Caenorhabditis elegans: one gene and its partners. The protein of the gene in region 2 interacts with the protein of the main gene of each other region in a pairwise test. Each region holds a gene or a part of one and is shown on either strand. Other genes may lie near its edges.

Region 1 (4,538 bases), on a different chromosome or scaffold from region 2:
TTAATGTTCCAGGTAATTTTCAAAACAACTGCGCAATGAAAACGCTCAATTTATGGATGTAAATGTCTTTTAAAATGAAAAAACAATTTTTTTATGATACTGACTCTAGTTTTTAATTTCAAAGAGGTAGTTAAGCATGATAAATTATCCTCTTAGAAAAATAAAATTACATTCTAAAGTTGATTTATTATTTTTCAACTGTAAAATAAATGAACATGATCGTTAATATTATTTATTGCAAAAATATAAATAAGTATTGTATTGTATATACACATAACTAGTGTCACAATTATACATTGGATGACTACATTCTCTTGCAACATTGTCCATTTCCACACGGAGAATAGTTTTGCTGGCAAGAGCAGGAGTTGACTGATTGAGTGAGGCATGGCATCTGGACTAGTTGAGCAGTAGAGCACGATTGATAGCATGATTGGGTGCATGCTGGAGCACATTGCTGCATTGGTTGTTGTTGTTGAATGCATTGTTGTTGGCATGATTGTTGGCATTGTGGAACACATTGAGCAGATTGAGACACTGAAGGTTCTAGGATGACAGTCACAATTTGTGGAGCAACAACTGGAGATTGGCATGCTGATTGGCATTGCTGACATTGTGGAGCAGCTGGTTGCTGACATTGTGGAATACATTGTTGTTGGCACTGTTGAGTCTGTTGGCACGAAGTTTGACATTGTTGGCAAGCTGGTGCAGATGGAAGTGTGCATTGTGGAGCACACTGTTGCTGGCAAACTGGAGCATACTGCTGGCAAGTATTCTGGCACTGCTGGCACTGTGGAGCTGATGGCTGTTGGCATTGAGGAGCACACTGTTGTACGCATTGTGGAGCTGCTTGCTGACAGGTTGTCTGGCATGGTTGAGTACATTCCTGATAGCACTGTTGAACTGGAACTTGTTGTAGAAGACATTGTTGTTGACACTGTTGTTGGCATTGTGGAGCACATTGAGCAGAGATTCCCAAGTTGACATTGATGACTTGTGGAGCAACAGTTGGAGCACATTGTTGAACACATTGCTGCTGACATTGTGGTTGACATTGTTGAATTGGTTGAGCTTGAACACATTGTTGAGTGCACTTTTGTTGGCATTGTGGAACACACTGGACTGTGACTGGAGCTGGAGCAACACAGGATTGTTCACAGGCTGGCATGCAAGATGGTTGACATTGGACTGGAGCTGGAGCAGCTATTTGAGTATAACAGGAAGACGTCTGACAAGTCTGCTGGCATGAAGATTGACACTCATTCATAGATGGAGCAAATTGACATTGGTTCTGGCAAGACTGCTGACAAGCTGGAGCACATTGAGAAGTTTGCACTTGGTAAGTTACTTGCTGAACTGGTTGGGCACATGAGCAGGATGTCTGGACTGGAGCAGTGTTCTGACACGAACAACTGTACTGTTGTGGTTGAGTTGCTTGTTGGCATGAACAACTTGGTTGAACTTGTGAAGCACAACCACATGATTGACGTTTATCACGAATTGATGTTGCCTGGAAAAAACTTCTGTGAACTTGGAAAACAAGCATTTTGTTGCTAACATCGATTACGTCCAACAAATATTTGTAAGATGTGGGCACTTAGAAAACTAGACCGTATTATCAAGAACATTTTGAAAAAACTGTACATGATGAATTTTTCATCAAGTGATGGAAAATTGTTGTAGTTAATATAATATTTTTAATTATTAATAAACCGAAATACTAACTGAAAAAGTTTAGAAATGTCGTGCCATTCTAAAAGTGAAAGTACAATGAAACTTTATCAAACCTCGATAAGCAGACAGCTGGAAGCAAAGAGAGCTACAAATACGATGAAACGCATGATAATGGTTGAAGAAGCAGGGCTTGATGATTTCCACAGATATCAAGGCTTTATATACCCCCTCAAACACTGCTTGCGTACGATTATAGCAATGTAAAAAAATAGTGCCGGAAAAAATAGTCCAAGAGTTCAAGTCTTGTAATTTCGAATGGCTATTGTGAGAGCAAACAAAAAGGTGTTTCTAATAATGAGTGGCGTCAAAAGGCAATAAACAATTTAAAATCGTTTTGTCGAAATCCGAACTCTAAAGTTCAACAGGTAACCCTTTCATTACTTTTCTGAAAATGTAAACGAAATTTTTTGGTACACATAGTTAAGCGGAAACTCGGCGCAATCCAAAAAAAAAACACTGTATCAGTGCAAACGCGCACCCAACCTCTTTTTGATCTTTGCAACTTGCCGTGCCCTCAAGAAATAGTGTGTGTAAGACTGGGAGGCGACGAGCGTGTTTTTTGGTTCATTTGCCATGTTATCATTGTTATGTTTGCGCTGAGCATGAAGCCGGTTGATGGATGGAGTTTGATAAGTGGGACGGAACTGTTTGATGGCTAATGAAACAGGGTTGTAGGACGTTGGTATAAAAGTCGGAAAAATTAAAACAAGGGCATCAATTGTCTCTTAGCAGCTCTTCAATCATATTGACAATGCGTTTTATTACAATTGCAGCAGTTCTTCTTGTTTCTAGCCTTCTTATTGTTGAGGTACGATTTGTATTACTGTTGCTTCACTTACTTTCTGAATTATCTGTAGAATTAGTTAACAATTTATATGTACACCTTGAAACATTATATTATTTCTAGGCATCTTCAATTCGTGATAAACGTCAATCATGTGGTTGTGCTTCACAAGTTCAACCAAGTTGTTCATGCCAACAAGCAACTCAACCACAACAGTACAGTTGTTCGTGTCAGAACACTGCTCCAGTCCAGACATCCTGCTCATGTGCCCAACCAGTTCAGCAAGTAACTTACCAAGTGCAAACTTCTCAATGTGCTCCAGCTTGTCAGCAGTCTTGCCAGAACCAATGTCAATTTGCTCCATCTATGAATGAGTGTCAATCTTCATGCCAGCAGACTTGTCAGACGTCTTCCTGTTATACTCAAATAGCTGCTCCAGCTCCAGTCCAATGTCAACCATCTTGCATGCCAGCCTGTGAACAATCCTGTGTTGCTCCAGCTCCAGTCACAGTCCAGTGTGTTCCACAATGCCAACAAAAGTGCACTCAACAATGTGTTCAAGCTCAACCAATTCAACAATGTCAACCACAATGTCAGCAGCAATGTGTTCAACAATGTGCTCCAACTGTTGCTCCACAAGTCATCAATGTCAACTTGGGAATCTCTGCTCAATGTGCTCCACAATGCCAACAACAGTGTCAACAACAATGTCTTCTACAACAAGTTCCAGTTCAACAGTGCTATCAGGAATGTACTCAACCATGCCAGACAACCTGTCAGCAAGCAGCTCCACAATGCGTACAACAGTGTGCTCCTCAATGCCAACAGCCATCAGCTCCACAGTGCCAGCAGTGCCAGAATACTTGCCAGCAGTATGCTCCAGTTTGCCAGCAACAGTGTGCTCCACAATGCACACTTCCATCTGCACCAGCTTGCCAACAATGTCAAACTTCGTGCCAACAGACTCAACAGTGCCAACAACAATGTATTCCACAATGTCAGCAACCAGCTGCTCCACAATGTCAGCAATGCCAATCAGCATGCCAATCTCCAGTTGTTGCTCCACAAATTGTGACTGTCATCCTAGAACCTTCAGTTTCTCAATCTGCTCAATGTGTTCCACAATGCCAACAATCATGCCAACAACAATGCATTCAACAACAACAACCAATGCAGCAATGTGCTCCAGCATGCACCCAATCATGCTATCAATCGTGCTCTACTGCTCAACTAGTCCAGATGCCATGCCTCACTCAATCAGTCAACTCCTGCTCTTGCCAGCAAAACTATTCTCCGTGTGGAAATGGACAATGTTGCAAGAGAATGTAGTCATCCAATGTATAATTGTGACACCAGTTATGTGTATATACAAGACAATACTTCTTTATACTTTTTTAATAAATAATATTGATAACTTTAAGTTTTTACTCAAATTTAGAAAAAAAAAAAAAACTTTGACCACTGAGCGGATCGAACGCCCAACCTTTCGATCTGGAGTCGAACGCGCTACCATTGCGCCAAGCAGTCACATTTTCCTTTGTCATCTAGTGCAATGACACGAAAGGGGTAGAGAGAAAGGAGAGAATAAGGAGGGGACATATGGCGGTAGAAAAACCGGTGACGGACTACTCTCTTCATCGTTTATCACATATTCTGAGTGTTTGTTTTTTCAAATTTAATGGAGGAAATAGATAGAATAGTGAGGAAATGAGAATGTTATTGATTTTCATGGCGGCATTGGTGTGAAACTTGTTGCTCCTACTGACGCGATTGTGCCAACTCTTGACTGTTTAATCTCTTTGAAACTTCTGAACAGAATCATTCGAATTCCTGGAAGTTTGTGAGGTTTTTCTTGCACGGGTTGTTGCAAGCACCCGACATCTACCGGGTTCTCGATGTGAACATATGCTGAATCCGCTAGAAGTCAAGCGCTACGGAACACTATGGAAAAATGAAGACCGCCAGATGTCGGCTGCAACTGAAAGTTTTGGGAATTTGCTTACTTTTTGCAGTCATTCGA
Region 2 (5,825 bases):
TGGAAATTTTTTTTTAACTTCAAACTTTTTTATTTCAAAAAATTCAAAATTTCTGGATTTTCCGCTGATTTTCGAGCATTTTCACTATAAAATTCGTTTTCAGCGCCATTTTTTACTCTTACCCCAACTTTTTTACGCAATTGTAGAAAACTGTGCATTTTCTCGTGAGGGGCTCGGTGTTTGCGTACTTTTCGAGCTACAGTAACCCAAAATGGTCAAAATTGAGCAGAGAACACGGGGGAAAATGGTGCTAGAGTGAAAAAATTCGAGGAATCTGAATTTTCACTTAATAATTTGATTTTGTGCAAAACAATTGGATAAAATTTTTTTTGAAAAACAACTTTTAAAATTTTCTTCAAATTTTTATATTTTCTGCCGATTTTAAAACATTTTCACTATTAAATTCGTTTCCAGCACCATTTTTCACCCCTACCCCAACTTTTTTACGCAATTCCAGAAAACTGTGCATTTTCGCGTGAGGGGCTCGGTGTTTGCGTACTTGCGTACTATTGGGGCTACAGTACCCCAAAATGATCAAAATTTAGCAGGAAACACCAGGAAAAATGGGTCTAGGGTGAAAAAATGCGAGGAATCTGAATTTTAACGTCAAAATTTGATTTCGTTTGAAATTTTTGGGAAAAAATTCGATTTTTTTTCTTTTTTTTTTTTGATATTTCAAAACATTTTTTCACAACCAATTTTTGTAGTTTATAGTAAAGCCTAGACTACAAACTACAGTAAACAAACTAACGATTCATTGGAGAAACACCGCGAAATGTTTCATCGAAGAAGTTGGGCGGCGAGGACCAACATCCGGACGGGCGGTTTAGAATACGATCCTCATCATCTTCAGAATCCTTATCATGGAGGTTCAGTGATAGATCAGAGTCACATAGGCTCGGGGAGTACCTGGAAATTTGAGTTTAGAGTATGCTGGACTTTGGCAGACCAATACTGAACCAAATTTTCCAAATTTTCACAAAATCTAGATATTTTCAACATTTTTCATATCAAAATTCACGCTCAGCGTCATTTTTTACCCCTAAACCCGCCTTTTCAGCCGATTTTAAGATTTTCTGCAATTTGTCGTAAGATGCTGGGTGTTTGCGCACTTTTCAAGCTACAGTAACCTCAAATTTTCAAATTTTACGCTAGGACTCCAAAAAAAAGTATTCTAGAAGTGAAAAATGGTGAGGAATTCGAATTTTTATGTTTCAAAGGGGGAAAATTTGGATTAACAGGGAAAATGTTCCTTTTTTGCGATATAAAAATGATTTTTCAACAATTTTCATGCCAAAACTCAATATCAGCATGATTTTCTACCCATATCTCTACTTTTTCAGCAAAATCGGAGTTTTTCTGTGCATTTTTGCGTCACGCTCACGGTGTTTGCGGACTTTTGGGGCTACCGTACCCCAAAAGTCTCAAAATTAACGATAGAGACCCAGAAAAAACGGGTAACATGTGAAAAACGATGGAGAATTCGAATTTTCACCTCATAATATTGGATTTCCGCCGCTTTGACTTCAAATTTTCATTTTCTTCCTCAGGGTCCGGCCATTTTTCATCAAGTGTCGGAAGTAGGTCGGCTACTGAGTATTCTGCTTCTTCCGCTATGCTTTTACTCGTTGATTCCATCATTTTTGATAAGGAAATCTGAAAAATGGTGTTCTGGTCTGCTAGACTACAAACTACAAACTATAAACTATAAATTGTAAAATATATACAAAAAATTTAAATTTGGCAGATCAAATCATTTTGAAACTGGCAAATATTGGTCTGACGGACTACAAACTATAAACTACAAACTACAAACTACAAACTACAAGTTATAAACTACAAACTATAAACTACAAACTACAAACTAGAAACTACAAACTACAAACTACAAACTACAAACTACAAACTACAACTATAAATCTCTGACTTCAAAATAGCAGATCTAGCCAAACAAAACTATTAACCTACATATGACAGACTCAATCAATTTTAAACTTGCAAATTTTGGCCTGATGGACTATACACTACAGACTACAAACTACAAACTACAAACTACGAATTATAAACTACAAACCATAAACTACAAACTATAAATTACCAACTTCGAAATAACAGATCTAACCACACAAAACTATGAACCTGCAAATGGCAGACTCAATCAATTTTAAACTAAAAAACATTGGTCTGACGGACTACAAACTATAAACTACAAACTACAAAAACTACAAAGACTACAAACTACATCTTCACCACCACCTCCTCATCCAGCTCACCTCAAAGCTTGTTTTGCTCGGCTTAATTCTGTTATTTTTCATCGCTGCCGCCGCTGCAACGTCATCAGAGTTACGGGGAACTGCGTAAGCGGATTTCGATTTAATAATACTCCGAAGACACGGATGAACCAGAAATTCGGCGTCAGAATCCTCTTCTGAATCGTCATCACCTCCAGAGGAATTGTCGTTGTGCAGCCAGTCGGCTGAGTAGGACTGGAAAAAAATTCAGGAAATTTGGAGGTTTTAGAGGCTTCTTTTTGGTTTTTCGATATGAAAATCGAGTTCCCGACATTTTTTACCCTGGAAACTTTTTTTTTTCGAGCTTCTAGCTCATTTTTGAAATTTTTTGGGTTACTGTAGCTCCAGAAGTACGCAAACACTGCACCTTACGACAAAATGCAGAATGCTTTGAAATTGACTTAAAATGGTGTTTGAGGGGTAAAAAATTGTGTTGAAAATGAAATTCGGTGTGAAAAATTCCAAAAATGAGTTGCGTTTTTTTGCCGAGAAAATTTTTTACTGGAAAATTTGTAGAAATTTGAAATTTTTCACAATTTTTATTAAGAAATTCGGATTCTCCGTAATTTTTCACCCTTAATAAGTTTTTCTCTAAACTTCTGGCTCAATTTTAAGTTTTTTGGAATTACTGTAGCCTCAAAAGTACGCAAACACAAATCGATGCACCATACCTTACGACAAAATGCACAGAAAATTAAAATTGGCTGAAAAAGCTGGGAATGGGGTAGAAAGTGGCGCTGAATTTGAATTTTGATATGAAAATTTTTAAAAGTTGCTGGTTTTCGAGAAAAATTTCGAGTTTTGAAAAAAAAAAAATTTTTAATTTTTTTGTTGCTTTTTGCAAAAAAACCGGTTTAGGAGCAAAAAAACGCTGCTGAATTTGATTTTTATAGTTAAAACCTTTAAAAATCAACGGTTTTCCTGAAAAAACCTACCCTCCGAATAACCGTCGGACACTCGTCATCATCCTCGTCCTCCGTGTTCTCCTCAATCGGAAAATCATCGCATTTTCGACATTCAAATGCGCTCATTTTGTGCTGAAATTTTTAAGACTTAAAATTTCAAGTAGTGGAAAAGAAGTTTTGGAGCAAAAAAAAAAAAAGAAAAAAGGAAAAATAAAAGTGAATCTCTGTTCCAGACATGCGCGCTGGAAAAAATGATGAATGGAGTGGATGAGAGAGTGAAGAGAGTGCAGAGAAAATTGCGTTGAAAAACAACTCAAAAAAGGGGATCATGGAAAAAATATTCAGAAAATTTTCAAAACTTTTGTTCTTGAAAAATTCCAAAAAAAAATTTTTTTTCACCGAAATTCCAAAAATAATTTTTTTTTCCAAAATTTAACTTCTCAACAATTTTTTCGTCAAATTTTACAGCCGAAGCCTTTTTTACCGAGTTTCTAGATCAATTTTCGAGTATTGCGGGGGTACTGTAGGTTCAAAAGTACGCGAACACCGGACCTTGCGACAAAATGCACAGAAACTCAAAATTGCCGGAAAAGACGTGGTAGGGGTAAAATCAAGACCTGAATTTGAATTTTTAGATGAAAAATTGAGAAAGTGAAAAATGAAAAATAAAGAAAATAAGTTTGGAAAAAAAATTTTCTAAAATTTTTTTTTCCCGAAATTCCAAAAAAACTTTTTTAAATCAAAATTGAAGTTCCCTACGAATTTTTTGTCAAATTTTCCAGCCAAAGTCTTGTTTCCGAGTCTCTAGCTCAATTTTTAAGTCTTGCGGGGTACGGTAACACAGAATCTCAAAAATGTCGGAAACAGGTGTGGTATGGATAAAATAAGGTGCTGAGTTTGAATTTTAACATGAAAATCAGGAAAAATCTTGATAAAATAAAGATTTTCGAGAAAAAAACATTTTGCCAAAAACTCAACTTTTCGGGGGTACGGTAACCCCAAAAGTACGCAAACACCGGACCTTACGACAGAATGCACAGAAACCGAAAGTTGTCGGAAAAGGATGGATTAGGGGTAAAATTAGGTGCTGAGTTCGAATTTTAGCATGAAAAATTGATGAAAATTGAATAAATAAAGATTTTCGGGAAAAATTGCTAAAAAAAATTTTTTTTTGCGATGTTTTTTTCTGGCTTATAATTTTCACCAATGTTATTGGCTATATCATATCACGAGTTTTGACATGTTATCTCAATTTCCTCCCCCCCCTTTCTTCACTCCATTTCCCTCATCGAGAGAGCACACACATTTTCCAATAAATTCCGCGCATTTCCTGCTCTCTGAGGGTAGCGTCTTCTTCACACTAATCTCCCGACGAGATAGTATGTGAAAGTGAGAGACGCAGAGAAAATGAGAGCAAAAAAAAGATGTAGTAATGAGTGGGAATAGATTAAGGGGTACCCCCTGAAAGAGGGGGGGGGGGGGGGGTGGGGAGGTGCAGGTTTTTTTCGAAAAACCAAAAAAATTTCTCAAAATCCAACGATTTTCATAATTTTTCACATTGAAATTCGATCTCAGCACCTCATTTCACCCCTAGAACACTTTTTTCAGAGGATTTTGAGATTCTGTGCATTTTCGCGTAAGGTGTGCGGTGTTTGCGGACTTTTGGGGCTACAGTACCCCCCAAAAGACAAATTTGAGCAGGAAACATAAGAAAAATGTTAGAAATTTAATATATAGCCCTATAATTTATTTCCAGGCGAATATATCTTCCGAAAAAGAAATTTTGAAAGAAAAAACTAAAAAAATTGAATTTTCAATGTTTTCAGGTATTTTTTGATAATTTTAACTGTCAAATTCAAGTTCAGCGCCTCATTTCACCCCTGGGACTGTTTTTTCCGATGATTTTGAGATTCTGTGCATTTTCGCGTGAGAGACTCGGTGTTTGCGTACTTTTGGCGCTACAGTAACCCAAAAACGTCAAAATTGTGCAGAAAACGCGGGAAAAATTGTTCAAATTCTCGAAAAACGGGAAATTTGGAAAAACAATTGCAATTTTTTTCGGAAATTTTCAAATTTGAGCAAGAAGCTTAGGTCTGCTAGTTCTAAATCTGTAGTTTGTAGTCTGGCAGACCAAAAAAAAAATGTTGGAATAGATTAAGGAGCACATGAAGACGCCGAATTTTTTCATTTTCTTCTTCTTCTCGATCTTCTTTTTTATAGATAGAATGCATGCCAAAATGAATTCAGGAATTACAGAATTTCTAATGAATACGTGGATATGGGGCATAAAACGATGACGTGGCAAAATGTAGTTTGTAGTTTACAGCGGAATTTTAGAAAAAACGTATACTTTTTAAAATTGATAACTAGAAACTAAAAAATGACTTGAATTCTATGAATTTTAGCAATTTTTCATTATGAAATTCAAACTCAGGGCCTTTTTTTACCCCCTGGTCCATCTTTTTCAGACAATTTTAAGTTTCTGTGCATTTTGTCGTAAGATGCTCGGTGTTTGCGTACTTGTGGCGCTACAGTACCCCGGAAATTTGAAAATTGAGTCAGAACTTTTTAATTATCGCTAAAAAACGAGACAAAGTGTAGTTTTAAGTAAAAAAAAAATCGAAAAATC
Region 3 (8,483 bases), on a different chromosome or scaffold from region 2:
GATTCTATTAATAGACCTCCTTGTTTCTCATTTCATGACCGTATCATCCAAAACAATTTCAACCGATAGTCCTTTTTCAATGACCTTTTCATAACATTTAACTGTCCTAATCAAATCGGTAGTTTGTTGTTTTAGTTGTTTAACCAAATGGTTTTGTTGCAACTTCAAGCCTCGTGTACCTCTAAAAACAGATATTTTCATCATATCTTATTATGTCTCCGCCTCCTCCTCAATTTCTCACCAATTTCATCTTCTCCTCCTTCTCAATAGTTTTTCTCCCCACACACAAATTGCGCCCGCCCCCAATTTGCATTTTACTGTTGGTGTCCCTTGATGTGTCCCCCTATCGCCCAAAATCCCGTCGTTGTTACGTTACTATTCAGGCGGAACACACACAGTCACCAGAACCATCATATTTTATTTGTTTCTTTTTTCTTTTCCTTTTCTATTTGAAACCATCAACTTGGGATTTCCCATCTCACGTCTCAATGTTGCAGAATCTTTAGTAAAAGTCGAAACACAAATATATGATTTATTGGCAGGTTATTATCAGTTTGTGCCAATTTATTATCGAAGAACAGTTTGATTAAATCAAGTAAAGTCAGAAAGTCTATTCAACTTTTATTAAGAATTTTAAATATTTTCTATAATCTCCAAGAGTTCGACTCATATTAATGTGTATTCTTTACATTATAACTTTTAAAATTCAATTTTTTTCGCTTAAAAGTTCAAAAATCTGAAAAGAACAATCGGACAATCGTTGTGGTCGTCATAGAGCTGAAATGATCTACGAATAGTTCAAAGTACTGTATAATCTAGTAGCCATATACATTTTCATAATCCTCTCCGTATTTCTTTTCACCAATCCGCTCCGTCATTTTGCATTTTTAACAAGTTTCGGTTATTCCATATTTTCATTTACATAACTTACACGTTTATGTTTCTATTTCATGTTAATTCCATAGTATTCTGGATGGTTCCAAAATAGTTTTGAATTGTATATTGTTTGAATTGGTCCAACTCCGAGAATTACCAAAAGTTTAGAACATTTGAAGAAAACATAACAATGTTTGGTTATTGATAACATAAATTTTGTTGAATCTTCAAGCTTCATTTATTCATATTTTTCCAAATTTCAAAAAAGGATTTCTAAATTTAAAATGTCCACTAAACAATCCTTAATCTCTTGGCAGCTCCTCTTCTTCACACGTGGTTTTTTTCAGTTATCAGAACAATAATCGGTGGTGTGCCAGCTTGCTGAATTGGCTTGGCAAACTTTTTTTGCGTCCTTCTCCGCCACCGTCACTCGTTATCATCAATCACAAATTTTTGGCTGCTGCCACGTTAGACTCTGATTTGTAAGGGGGACATGAACTATTATCAGAAGCTAATTCTTAAATTCTAAAATGAAAATATTAATTTAGAAAAACGAGAAATAGATAATAAATGGAAACCTACTCTCGTTTCTTTCTCCAATAAATCAAATAAAAATAAGAAAAGTGCGACTGGTTGAGTCGTTACCTAACTTTATCAATATTTGATTAGAACTTAACAATGTTTTTGAAATGATCCACTTGGACGTACAAGAGGTAGTACACATTAAACTGACCGTTCGATTTTTTTTCTTAACTTTAATTCACTTAGAGAAAGGTAAAAGGAATCCATATATAAATTACGGGATGTAAATAATATTTTATTATTAAAGAAAGGTTTTAAAACAAACTATGTAGAATCTAGTCAAATAAGTAATTTTCTATTTCTGGAGATAATTTTATTTAAAATTGAATTTTCTTAATTACAGAGAAATTACGTTCAAAATCTCATTAAAAGATGTGATAACCCGACACCTCAATACATTGACCGTTTAATTTCTTTCCGTTTTCATATATATTTTCATCTAAACACATTCATATATTTATATATACAAATGAAACCTAAACCCGTTTAATAATCCGCCTGACCGTCTATCCATCCTGTCCGTCCGTCTATCCTCCTGTCCACCTTCCGACCACAATTACCGTCCCTTTTTCTTTCATTTTCACCGTTTATTTTTCTGAAATCCGTTGCTTTAATATGTATACATTTATATATACTTTTTTCCAGCAACAACAAATAGAAGAACACGAATTTTAATTTCAATTAATTCAAAATTTTTCCCATATCGACGCTGCCGTTTGCAGCACCATCTGTTAAAATGGAACAACTTGATGTCGAAGATTGGGAGTATTGGGGTGATGAATATCTTGAAGAAGAACCAACTTATGCAATAAGACCTGGTACAAGAGTTGTGAAAGTTGAAAGGTTAGTAAATCGATTATTATAACTTTTCTGTGCATTTGAACTTGCATCATAACCCTAACTTTTTTGAGAATTAATATCAAATTATTAAGATTTATTTGCTCAATTGATCAGTTGGAGATCATTTCATAGTTTTTTCTTTAATTTTTTGAACTTGTGAGATAAATAATTTTCAAAAAATTTTGTTTACCGAAGCCGCCAAAAAATTTTATCTCAAATATATAGCTCTAGTGGCTCTTTGATAAAAACATTGAAAATTGAAAAGAAAAGATTTACTTGAAACCCCATTTAATGCTAAATCTAAATTTATTCAAAGTCAATGTGATACAAAATCCCTTCAGGCCTTAAACTTTTACATCTATTCTGATATCAAAGCATTTGATAGTTTCAAAGAAATTACGACATTTTGGCAATCAATCGCTGATCTTCTGACGTTTTCAGATCAATTGACAATGATTTAAATGAACTTTTGAGCAATTATCTCAACTCATTAGAGCCATTAGATAGTTTTCAAGAAGCTGCAAGTACGTGTTCTATTTGCATTTTAATTCTAATTCCCTTTTGTATAGGACAGAGTCTCCCCTTTGTTATCTTATTCTTGCCCCGCCACGACGCAACAACCATTTTTGTGATAATAATTTGCAATTTTATCAATGGCACTACTACCTCTGATCACCACCATCTCACACATACTTTGTAAAAGCGCGTCGATCGTAAATACTACTGTCTTGCCACTTTAGTAGTAACCCTGCCACGTGGAAACTTTGAAATTTGGCGTGGAAATGAGTGAAGAGGCACGTGACAAGATGCGCGCGAAGAATGATCAAATTGCGATAAAAAGGGATAGGTGAATGATCTTTGTGATTTGAATGCTACTTGAGGAATGGTTTACATGGAAATTGAGAAAAAGTAAAATAAAAGGGTTCAAGGACGGTAATCGATCAATTTGAATGAATGAAGAAAGATATGATTGTGATTGATAAAAGGAATTTGCTACAAGAAACCGAGACGAACTGCATCGGTTCATATGAGTCAGATGTGTTCTTCGGTTGAAGAAGATCACTTAATTTAGTGAGAAGTTTCTTTTGAGATTCAATTTTGATTATATTCTTAGAAGTTTTCAGAAAGACAGTTTAGTATTCACTCCACAAGGTTAATAGCTAAAAGTATTCTCTACTCGATTCGAAAAATAATTTTTGCGGGTTTTTACTTTTAGTATAAAATATTTGAATTTGAAAAAATCTCTAGTTAGTAGTTTGTTCGTGTGCAAAGCTTAAACAGGATAATTAAAGTATTTTAAAATATAATCCAGCTTTGATTCTAGATCACAATTCAGCATCTACTTATAGATAAACTAGTATATGTTAACTTCCCCTATCCTATCCAATAACCTTTTCCTTATTCAGCTGTAAACAACAATTGATACAAGTTATCTTATCTCCAAATGCCTCCTCCAATTTTATGAGACCCGTAAAAAAATTCGATAGACAAAAAGCATTACGATTTTATTTATTTTGGTGACATTTTGGATCCTTGTAGTCAGAGGCTCTATCATTTGATCTTCTAATATATCTTTACAAAAAGGCAATACATCCAATTAGCCCAATTAGTCTGCACGTCTTGATATAAATATGACATCATACATTTACTGATTCGAATCGTTGATTTTTAATTTAGAATTAAGGATAAACAGAAAGAAGATTTAAGTGTTTGATTGGAGAATATAGGCATCCTATGCTAAAAGCTATCTCTAATTTATTACTGACATCATCCGTTTCTCGTCTGTGTTTCATGTATCTTTATCACCTTTCCCTCCTCTAGTAGAATGACCTAGAAAGTGATTGGCAAGTCTGGCAAGCCTACAGGGGGACAAGGGTTATAAGATTGATAGGTAATAAATTCTTGTAAAATGAAGAAAAAAAATTCTGTGCGGATAAACGAAGCGGAAATCATCATTGTGTGCGTGCTTTGAGGAAAGGTTCGCGCCTGTTTACTTGCCTTGTTCGGAGGTCGAGATTTCGGACACGAACCACCTCATATTTTTCTCTCGTTTCTTTTCTTCGATTCTCTTTTTTCCATTACTATCTCTCTTCCTTTGGTTCTTATTTTCTCGACAGTCTCTTTTGGTCAGTATAGTTCCTAACTAGGAACTGTTCGAAATCTGGCATGATAATTCTTCAAAAACGCTTATGAAACTTCAAAAACTCGGACTATTTTACTGTGAAAGTATATACCTCCGTTCGTTTCAACAAAAAAAAAGTTAAGCTTTGAAACTATAGAAAAATTAATAATACATCTGCTGCCAGTTGATTTTAAATTGATTCAATCGAAAATAGCCAAGATATCAGGTGCCAAAGTTGAGCAAGATTAATTGAGAAAATAATGTTTTTGGGAGTGCATTTTTTCAAATATACAAGTAGTTTATCAACAAAAAATTATTTTGTACTGGTGTAATTGATTTAAAAAACAAGTAATTGATGTGAAAAACAAGCTTAAATACTGTTCTAAAATAAAGTTACAGGTGTTAAAATGTTTTAAACAAATTATTTACTATTTGTTCAAAACCTTAGTGACATCTAATCTTTATGTTTTCATTTTCTCTTCATCCTCTCAAGCGTCTTCTGTTTTGTATTCTTCTTCTTCTTTATTTCAAATCAGTGTCTCTTTCGCCTTGTTATCAGTAAATCGTCGTCGTCTTCTCCTCCTTCATCTCCTTTTATTTCAATGTCACTCCCACTTAATTTCCCCCATTTTGTAATATTATCATAGAGAGACACCGCCCCATAGGTATTCCCCCAAATACGTCAGTTTTTCCACGTGGAACTTTTTGGTCTTTTTGATGTGTGAACTTTGATAGTTTGCAACAAATTGAAATTATGAATTTTTTTTATCATCAATGGAATTGGTCACTGTTCCAATGATTTTTTAATTGGATTCTTAAATGCCTTTTGGCTAGAAAACTTTGCACATTTAGCTCCGATTAAGCAATGAATTTTTACAATAACAAAAAAGTGCCTATCGACTTTCAATTCCGCTTCCACACACAAAATTTTGCAATTTTGAAACTGAAAAAACCGTATCAAATATAATACTCTTTTGAAAGTTTAATCACTTGAAAAATGTAATTCCGTCTTCACCAAAAAACGTTGTATTTTCCAAGACACAAATTATTGTGGGAAGATCAAGAAATCAAAATTTCAAGGACACACTCTAGTTTTTAAATTTTATTATTTTTGTGTTTGAAACTAATTTTCCCGATCTTTTAACTTTAAAATTTCCAGAGTTCCAATGATGCGAGGAGATTTAAGGACAAGCGGTGCCACGTCATCAAGTGGTCCCGCCACGTCATATATCATCAGGCCCAGTGACAAGCAACCCACAGTTTCTAGTGGTGGATCACAGAATGGAGATTCAGTTTGTGCTGTTTGTGGTGACGGAATTGCAAAATTACATTATGGAGTACTTGCATGTTATGGATGTAAAGGATTCTTTAGAAGAACACTGACTGGAAAATATCGATATGCATGCAGATTCTCAAATAATTGTATTGTTGATAAATGTAAGTTTTTTAAAGAATAAATTCGAATATACTTGACTGAGTATCTTTATAATCAAGAAAATACCTGAAGTTTCGGTTTTCAGTCCAGCGAAATAGTTGCCGATACTGCAGATTTCAACGTTGTATTCAAGCAGGAATGGATCCAAAAGCAGTCAGGCCGGATAGGGATCAGACAGGAAAACAGAAAGTTCCAAGAATTAAGAAGAAGCAAATTGATGAGGAGCTTTTAAATCATATGGTATGTTTTGAAAATGTAGATACACTGAAAAAAAACTGGTGGCAAATTTAAAATTTCCAAAAATTTGACAATTCACAAAAACTTGACATAAAATTATGGAAAATCTCAAAATGATTTGAGTGTTTTTTGTGATGTTTTCTATTTGTTCTGGAATAATCGAGTGAAAAATGTTTATGCATATTCAAACAGTTAAAATTTAGTTTGTGTTGTTGATAAAATCCAGAATAACTTACACTATACATGAATGATGTATAAATTAATACTTGAAATTTTCAGATGCGGTTACAAGGAGATGATTGGTCACGAAAACTTCCTGTCGAGACTCGAATTTTATTAATGCAATTGATGAGTATTGAGGATAAAGTAGTAAAAGGAGATAATAATATGAGTGCACAAAACACTGCAAAAGATCCAAAAAGTATTTCATTACGGGAAATGTTTGAATCAAAACCTGCATTAGATGGTCGACGGATGGAAATTGGTTATGAACCATTTCGAATGGCAAGAACTGAAGAACTTGGAGTAATTGCTCATAGAAGAGCAATTGCAGCTGTTGATTGGGTTGATTCATTAACTGAAATTGCGGATGCAGTTGATACTGAAGATAAAGTTGCATTGGTTAAAAGTTGTTACTCGCCGTTAACTATTTTCAATTTCTCTGCGAGAACTGCTCAGAATACGAAGAATCCGGATATTTTGTGTCTTTGCAGTCATTCATTTGTTCCAAGAAGATTGCCTCCAGAGTTTAATGAGACAAAGTAAGTTGGAATTTTAATTTAATTCCAATTTTTATCAACGCAATAAAAATATATGAAAAATACTATTTAAAATTAAAGAAAATTAATTTGATTTATTCAGTCATCTCTCAAACTTCCTGATTGATCGAACGTTAAATGAATTGGTGGCTCCATTGAGAAAATTAAATCTGAAAGAAGAAGAAATTGTTCCATTAAAAGCAATTATTATTTTAAATCCAAATGCAAAAGGACTATCCGAGCATGCGAGGCACGCGATTTCTGAGTTGAGAGATAAAGTTCAAGATATGCTTTTCCAAATTGTCAAGGAGCTTCATCCAATCTATTCTGCAAGCAGCCGATTTGGAAACTTGTTGCTTCTTCTGCCAACAATTACTGTTAGTCGTCATTACTGTTGCATTCTCTATTTCAAAACATTTCAGACTCTTTCCGGATTGATGTCTGAAAACATGCATTTCTGTCAAGCTCTTGGAGGACGTGCAAGTGGAGATAACTTGTTAGCTGAAATGTTTGGAGATAGAACATTTGATGATCAACTTATCAGCAGCAGCATTAGCCCACCACTATTCGAGAATCCAGCTGAAATTTGTTTAGAGGTCAGTTCACTAAAAATGACTGAAAGATCAAACTTTATATCATTATCTTTTTCTTTTAATTGTCATTAAAACTATAAACTCATTAAAACTATAAAATTTCGGAGTTTCTCGGAGAATTGAAAGTTGAAATTTGCCAACTACCAACTGATAAATGGCAATGATAAGAGTGTGCAAAAATCTAATTTCTTGTTTGTTTGCAGAGTATCTCACCGCCAATGTCTGATCGAAGATTCGTGAGAAGGGTAGATGTGGCAACACAGACAAATGATGATTTGTTATCATCTGGACCATATCTTCCACATTCAAATTCATGTAGCTCCATGCTTAATGCTGGATACTCTCCTCCAATGGTGAGAGAAGTTTGAAAATATTTATGGAATTTGAGGGAAAATATGTTGAAACTTTCTTGGATAGTAAAGATTCTAAATTGAGGGAACTAGCTTCAATGCGTTTTACACAAACATATTCTTAAGAATATACAAGAAGTTTGAAAAACGTTCAAAAAAGCTCAGATAGAGGCTGTGACTATTATCGATTTTTCTTTTATACAAATCGGTACCTATTTTTGCTAACTCGCTCCAAGTCTCTTAACATTTTTTTCTTGGGAATTTCTATTTCTATTATTAACACCGTTTCAAGTTAAGACTAAAGTGGTCGAGCCCAAGAAACTCCTTCCATATGTGGGCTTTTTTGCGTTTTTCAAATGTCTTGTGGCTAGGGAAATGTTTCTTTAAAATTAACATTAAAAAATCCAAATTCTCCAAAATTTATATAATGAGTGAATTTTCAGCTGTCAACATCTCCATTCCCACTTCTCGATGACAATGACAGTGCCTTCCAGAATGACATCAGTTTGACTGAGCTGAATGGTTGTGAAGAGTTCTTCAGTCAACTTATGGATCAACCAATCATTGACAGCTAAAATCTACAGACCAACCCATCTTGCCCGTAATTTCTCATTACTTATATGTGTACATATCTCATTAAAAAAGATCGTTTTCCTATACATACAATATACATACATAGTAAGTTATTGT
Region 4 (5,132 bases), on a different chromosome or scaffold from region 2:
ACCTTCCCCTCAAGCGGTAATTATAAATATTGCTCAAGAAAGTATATTTATTTTAAATTTTCAGCTCGGAGCACTCCGCCGCCGCCACGTTCGATTCATGCGAGGATGCTGCGTTGTCCAGTAGACTTCACCTCCACATCTCACAATCACTCCTCACATCCACGTGTCATAGTGCTTAATTGGTGCTATTAAATCGCCGCTGTAAATTATCAGTCCTCACCACACTCTATATTTTATCCAGATAACTTTCTTTTGTATGTGTGTGTGTGTTTCGAGACAATTATATTCTAATTTCTAATTTTATACCCCCTCCCTTCTACCGTGTGTGGTTTTCTAGTTTACGTGTTCTCAGGGTAGCTGAGAACTTTTCCCCCATTCAACAACTAGAACCAACACGAGTTCTAATTTTTATAACTCTAAAATTCCACGCGCACAAACCAATTTCGCCGTTGTTTCTGTTTTTGTTAAATGAAAGAATATTTTGATGATTTTGAAGGAAACATTTATTATTCTTAGCACAAATCAACATCCTTGCACGCCTTGTCTGGAGAATCCTTGTTCTCAATATCCTTTTTCAGCTCCTTCTTGACCTTCTTCAGCTCTTCCTCACACTCGTGATGCAACGGCAACAGCATAGTCCAGCAAAGAGTTCCGATGTTCACATCAAGCCATGCATCGAGATCATCATCTCCAACCTTCTCTCCACCCTGAAATATGTGAATAACGAGGAAAATTGGAGATATTTGGAGCACAAACCTCGACGAGAGCCTTGCAGACATCACAGAAAACACCGTGATGCTTCTTGAGATTGAGTGGGTTAGCTGGATTGGCTAGAAGTGGAGCAGCGGCGAGCAAGACAAGGAAAAGACACGGAAGAATGCGAGTCATTCTGTAGATTTTAAGATGAAAAACTGGAGAAATGAAGCGAAAATGCACCCGGAGCAGTGATGCTCGTGTCTTTTATCAACTTCGCGGCGGCACTGATAAGGAATCGAATCGTTTCTGATGTTTTCAGCATGGAGGAAAAGATCAAAGGACATTATAGAATACACACCGGGTCGTTCACACATCAGATGCCGATTTTTCGAACTGATAAGATCGCTTAGAGGAGTAGCTTTTCGCCTTGACGGAGAAAATATTGATTAATCAGGTTAGCAGTAAAGTAAATGGTGTGGGCATGTGATTTCTTGATAATTTGAGGAAGATGGAGGCAATCAATTTACTTATTTCAACAATTCTGGGGAAGCTTGAACAAAATCAACAAAGTTAAATAAATACGTAATTAGATAAATATTCACATTTCTTCTTTACAAATAGGCTCTCCGGATTTTTCAACTTTCAAATGCTATCGTCGCTTCTCGTGAGCGCATCCCAGGCGATTTGTCGATATCTGAAAGAGAAAATTGACATTTAAAAATTTAATTAAAAAAAAAAAAACAAACCTCTTGAGCTGCTGAACGGGCTCACTGGACGACGTGACGCCTCTTCCGACGATGATGATGTCGTTCTGCTGTACTTCGATCGCCTCGTCGACACCTCTCCACTGCTGACCGGCCGAGTCGGATTTCGCGTCGAGATTCACACCGGGCGTCCAATTGAGAAGATCCGAGCAAGCAGACACTCTCGTCTGAGTGATGAATCCAGAAATCACGTCACGATTCTCGTTGGCAATCTTGACGGCGGTCTCGGTGTATCCTTCCAGCGCAGTCAAAGATCCTTTGGTGCTGAGCTGCGCGATGAGGAGAACTCCACTGAGCCTGTAAGTCGGATCTTTGGCGAGCTTCCTGAAGACTCCTGCAATGCTGTCACTTCCTTGTACGGCATGAACAGTCACAACATCCGCCCAGTTGGCGATTTTCTGGGCTCCAGTGAGCTGAAGAAGGTTCGTGTTTCCAGTGTCGCCAAACTTCCGATCCTCGAAAATGATAAAGTCCATATCATTTGCCATCGTCGTCAGCTTCCTCGTGAATTCCTCGTTGAAATCGGTGATAGCGTCGGCGTGAAGCTTGATCGCCAGCACAAATGGACCAGCGAGCTCGATCATCTGAAGGCACTGCTCGACGGTAGTGTAGTCGACAGCGAGACACAGATTCGACTTCTTCCGGCGCATGATTCCAAGAATTTTCTTGATGAGTGCAGATTCTGTGAGGGATTCGCGTTCCGCAAGCGGAGTTCGCACGTTTTCCACGTACGGTAGACTGGACAGGTTTTCGAGCTCGCTGTTGATTTCCAGCTTTGTTGGGGAGGTGTACGGAAGGTTGAGAGCCTGAAATAATCAATTATTTTATTTTTAAATAGAAAATCGAGATAATTTGACTAACCTGAACAATTCCGTGCCACTGCTCGTCACCGATCGCTCCAGTTGAGTACAAGAATGTGAGAACTGTTTGCATGTCGAGCAGGCTGTGCAGCGTGACACCCGCGTCCTGGAGCTTCTGACGCCCGCCTTGTTCTCGATCCAGAATGCAAAATACATCCGAGGCGACCAAATTCTCTGTGTGAAGCACTTTTACCACGTCCAGGATGCTTCCACCTGTCGTCACGACGTCTTCGATGAGGATCAGACGATCGTTTGGCTGGTACAATCCCTCGATGAGCTTCTTCGTGCCGTAGGACTTGGCCTCTTTGCGAACGATGAGCAGCGGCTTCTTCAGATAGTTTCCAGCGGCGACTGATGCGTAGGGAAGAGCCGCGTATGGGATTCCAAGAACTCCAGCGTACTGAACCTCGCTAATCTCCACCTGCTTCGATATCGCTTCTGAGATAAGCATCTGGAAATAGTTTTCTTTTAAATAAAAATCATTAAAATAAGCTATTATTTTTTTTTTAAACTTTAAAAAACTCACCAAAAGCCCCGGATGCCCAAAGCATTCGCGAAGATCGATATAAATCGGTGAAATCTGCCCAGACTTGAGCTGAAACTCGCCGAATTTGAAGACGCTCGCTTTGAGCATTTGGCGGAGCAGATTCCGCTTCAGGGCTCCATTTCGGGTTTTGTCGGTGAGCGAGCTCATTTTCTCTGAATAGTACGATTACTTTTTGATGGAAAATAGTAGCGATGAATGTAAAATATAACGATAAGACTGAGGGAGATAATATATACTTGTGCAGAAAGCAGTAGTACGATTTGATAACAAGTTTTGAAGCGGAGAAGAGTAGGAGAAAGAGAACAAAGAGATTGATTGATAAGAAAAAGCTTGGGAAAAGAAATAAAATTGCATTTTGTTCAGATTTCTTAGTTTTACAGCGGGAAAACAGAAAAAGAACGAAAATTGGATTTGAAAAACTATTTTTTGAAGAGAAAACTTGAAGGTTACGGTAGAAGAGAGACAATGCGATGGAGAGAGACGCAGAGAAAGTTGCGTAACATTTGGTGTGCTGTACGCAACACAATGAGAGGGAATTTCAAATTTAGTTTTTCTGCGGGATCTTGTCGATAAATTTAATTAAGTTTTATTTAAATAGGGCTCGAGAAATTTTAAGATTTAAATAATGATTAATCAAAGATATGATGTTATAGTTTCAAATGAATATAAGAAAAACAATTAATAAAAATTTCTCAATGAAAAATAGATGCATTATTTTAAAAATTGTCATATAAACATTATAAACATTATATACCCCTCTAAAATTTTTGACTAGTGACGATCGATATTCCCCAAACGCGAACAGCATATCTGACGCGCAAAATATCTCTTAGCGAAAACTACAGTAATCTTTAAATGACTACTGTAGCGCTTGTGTCGATTTACGGGTTCGATTTTTAAAATTAACTTTAAGAGAAAAGGGAAAATAATACGAAAAAACGAATGAAAATGATATTTCGATGTTACTATTCGAAAAAAAATAACTTCAAAAATTGAGCCCGTAAATCGACACATGCGCTACAGTAGTCATTTTAAGAATTACTGTAGTTTTCGCTACGAGATATTTTGCGCGTAAAATATGCTGCGCAATACGCATTCTCAGGATTTATAGTATTTTAATTCTAAGTTTTCATCAAAAAAAACGTTGTCGGAAAAATTATTTTTTCAAATAATTCAGGCGGGAAATTCAAGCAGTTTAAAATTTCCGAAAAAATTTTGCGGGAGGCTCGAAGTTCTGAATTAAAAAAATCACAGGAACATTTTAAATTTTTAAAATTGTTTTCAGTCAATCTTTACAAAAAACAACATTTCCAACACTTTCCCGTTTCTCCCATAAACTCATTTTCCTGCCCAGCCAAAGTTGTCGTGGTGTGTTCAGTGATGCGTTCACCCAATTATGAGAGCTCTCGAGAGATGACGTTGTTCCTCTTTTCCCCATTCCAGCAACACATTCTAGAGCAATTTAACTAAATTGAGTGTAGCGTGAGTGAGTGCGCGTCCCTTCTAGAAAATAGAAAAAACGAAGCGAAAAAAAGAGAGAGAGAGAAAGGAGTCTCTCGAGAAGCTCATTGTGCATAGTTTTGGAAATTTGAAAATTGCAGAAAAATTCAGCCTCACGATTTTCCCAATATCATGACCCCTGCCTAACTTTGAATTAAAAAAAAAACATTTTTTCTTGAAAACTATTAAAATATATTGTTGAATTTGTTTAATCGCACTACAAATCAGGGGTGGGCGGCAATTGCTCCGGCAAATTTTTTTGTCGACAAATTGCCGGCTTGCCGATTTGCCGAATATCTGATTTGCCGTAAATATTTAGAGGGATTTTTTATAAGACGAAAATACTTAAAACTGTGCCTATTTGAACTTTTCCCGTTTTCTTTAGATATTTTTATATAATTTGCTTACTTTTAAAAATAGATGTATGAACATTCCTAGGATGTGTACAATTTTGCCGATTGAAATTGAAATTCTGAATTTCACAAAAAAACCACAATTTGCCGGTTTGCCGGAAAAATAGTTTTCTGCCTACTCCTGCTACAAATTATTATTATTCAATTTCCAGATTTTCTTCTTCTCCTCCTCCTCTTCATCCTCAATAATTGTATATCCGGGGGTGAGTGTATGTATGTATTTTATTGCCTTTCCTCTCATTTTCCACCCACATTTCCCCCATTTCCTCGTTTTCTTCATTCTTTTTGTTTTTTTTAAGTCACGTCATTCTAATTAGTGGGTGGGAATTTTTCAACAATATTTTTTAATATC

Evidence for each region.
Region 1: the proteins of jip-1 (region 2) and pqn-90 interact in a two-hybrid assay, tested with the Caenorhabditis elegans proteins (one large-scale study listed by BioGRID).
Region 3: the proteins of jip-1 (region 2) and nhr-31 interact in a two-hybrid assay, tested with the Caenorhabditis elegans proteins (one large-scale study listed by BioGRID).
Region 4: the proteins of jip-1 (region 2) and umps-1 interact in a two-hybrid assay, tested with the Caenorhabditis elegans proteins (one large-scale study listed by BioGRID).

Annotation. Positions count from the first base shown.
Region 1 is NC_003282.8:15,289,210-15,293,747, reverse strand, and holds pqn-90 (Prion-like-(Q/N-rich)-domain-bearing protein), read left to right. Parts: upstream 1-2,485; coding exon 2,486-2,542; intron 2,543-2,559; exon of another isoform or gene 2,560-2,581; intron 2,582-2,611; exon of another isoform or gene 2,612-2,641; coding exon 2,642-3,847; downstream 3,848-4,538. Other genes in the region: pqn-91 (Prion-like-(Q/N-rich)-domain-bearing protein), read right to left, coding at 305-1,510, 1,788-1,841.
Region 2 is NC_003280.10:1,324,498-1,330,322, reverse strand, and holds the start of jip-1 (PID domain-containing protein), read right to left. Parts: upstream 3,329-5,825; 5' UTR 3,323-3,328; coding exon 3,227-3,322; intron 2,487-3,226; coding exon 2,274-2,486; intron 1,657-2,273; coding exon 1,496-1,656; intron 910-1,495; coding exon 752-909; intron 1-751.
Region 3 is NC_003282.8:8,023,134-8,031,616, reverse strand, and holds the start of nhr-31 (Nuclear hormone receptor family member nhr-31), read left to right. Parts: upstream 1-2,103; 5' UTR 2,104-2,194; coding exon 2,195-2,301; intron 2,302-2,959; exon of another isoform or gene 2,960-3,106; intron 3,107-5,579; coding exon 5,580-5,857; intron 5,858-5,940; coding exon 5,941-6,095; intron 6,096-6,371; coding exon 6,372-6,853; intron 6,854-6,953; coding exon 6,954-7,227; intron 7,228-7,272; coding exon 7,273-7,446; intron 7,447-7,646; coding exon 7,647-7,796; intron 7,797-8,236; coding exon 8,237-8,368; 3' UTR 8,369-8,483. UniProt on the Caenorhabditis elegans protein: Orphan nuclear receptor.
Region 4 is NC_003281.10:10,354,630-10,359,761, forward strand, and holds umps-1 (Orotidine 5'-phosphate decarboxylase), read right to left. Parts: upstream 3,020-5,132; 5' UTR 3,015-3,019; coding exon 2,847-3,014; intron 2,772-2,846; coding exon 2,322-2,771; intron 2,267-2,321; coding exon 1,443-2,266; intron 1,391-1,442; coding exon 1,339-1,390; 3' UTR 1,208-1,338; downstream 1-1,207. Other genes in the region: T07C4.3 (ANK_REP_REGION domain-containing protein), read left to right, coding at 1-16, 65-124; spp-1 (Saposin B-type domain-containing protein), read right to left, coding at 513-707, 757-888. UniProt on the Caenorhabditis elegans protein: Bifunctional enzyme which catalyzes the formation of UMP from orotate in the de novo pathway of pyrimidine biosynthesis. May also form UMP from uracil. Regulates the size of gut granules during embryonic development.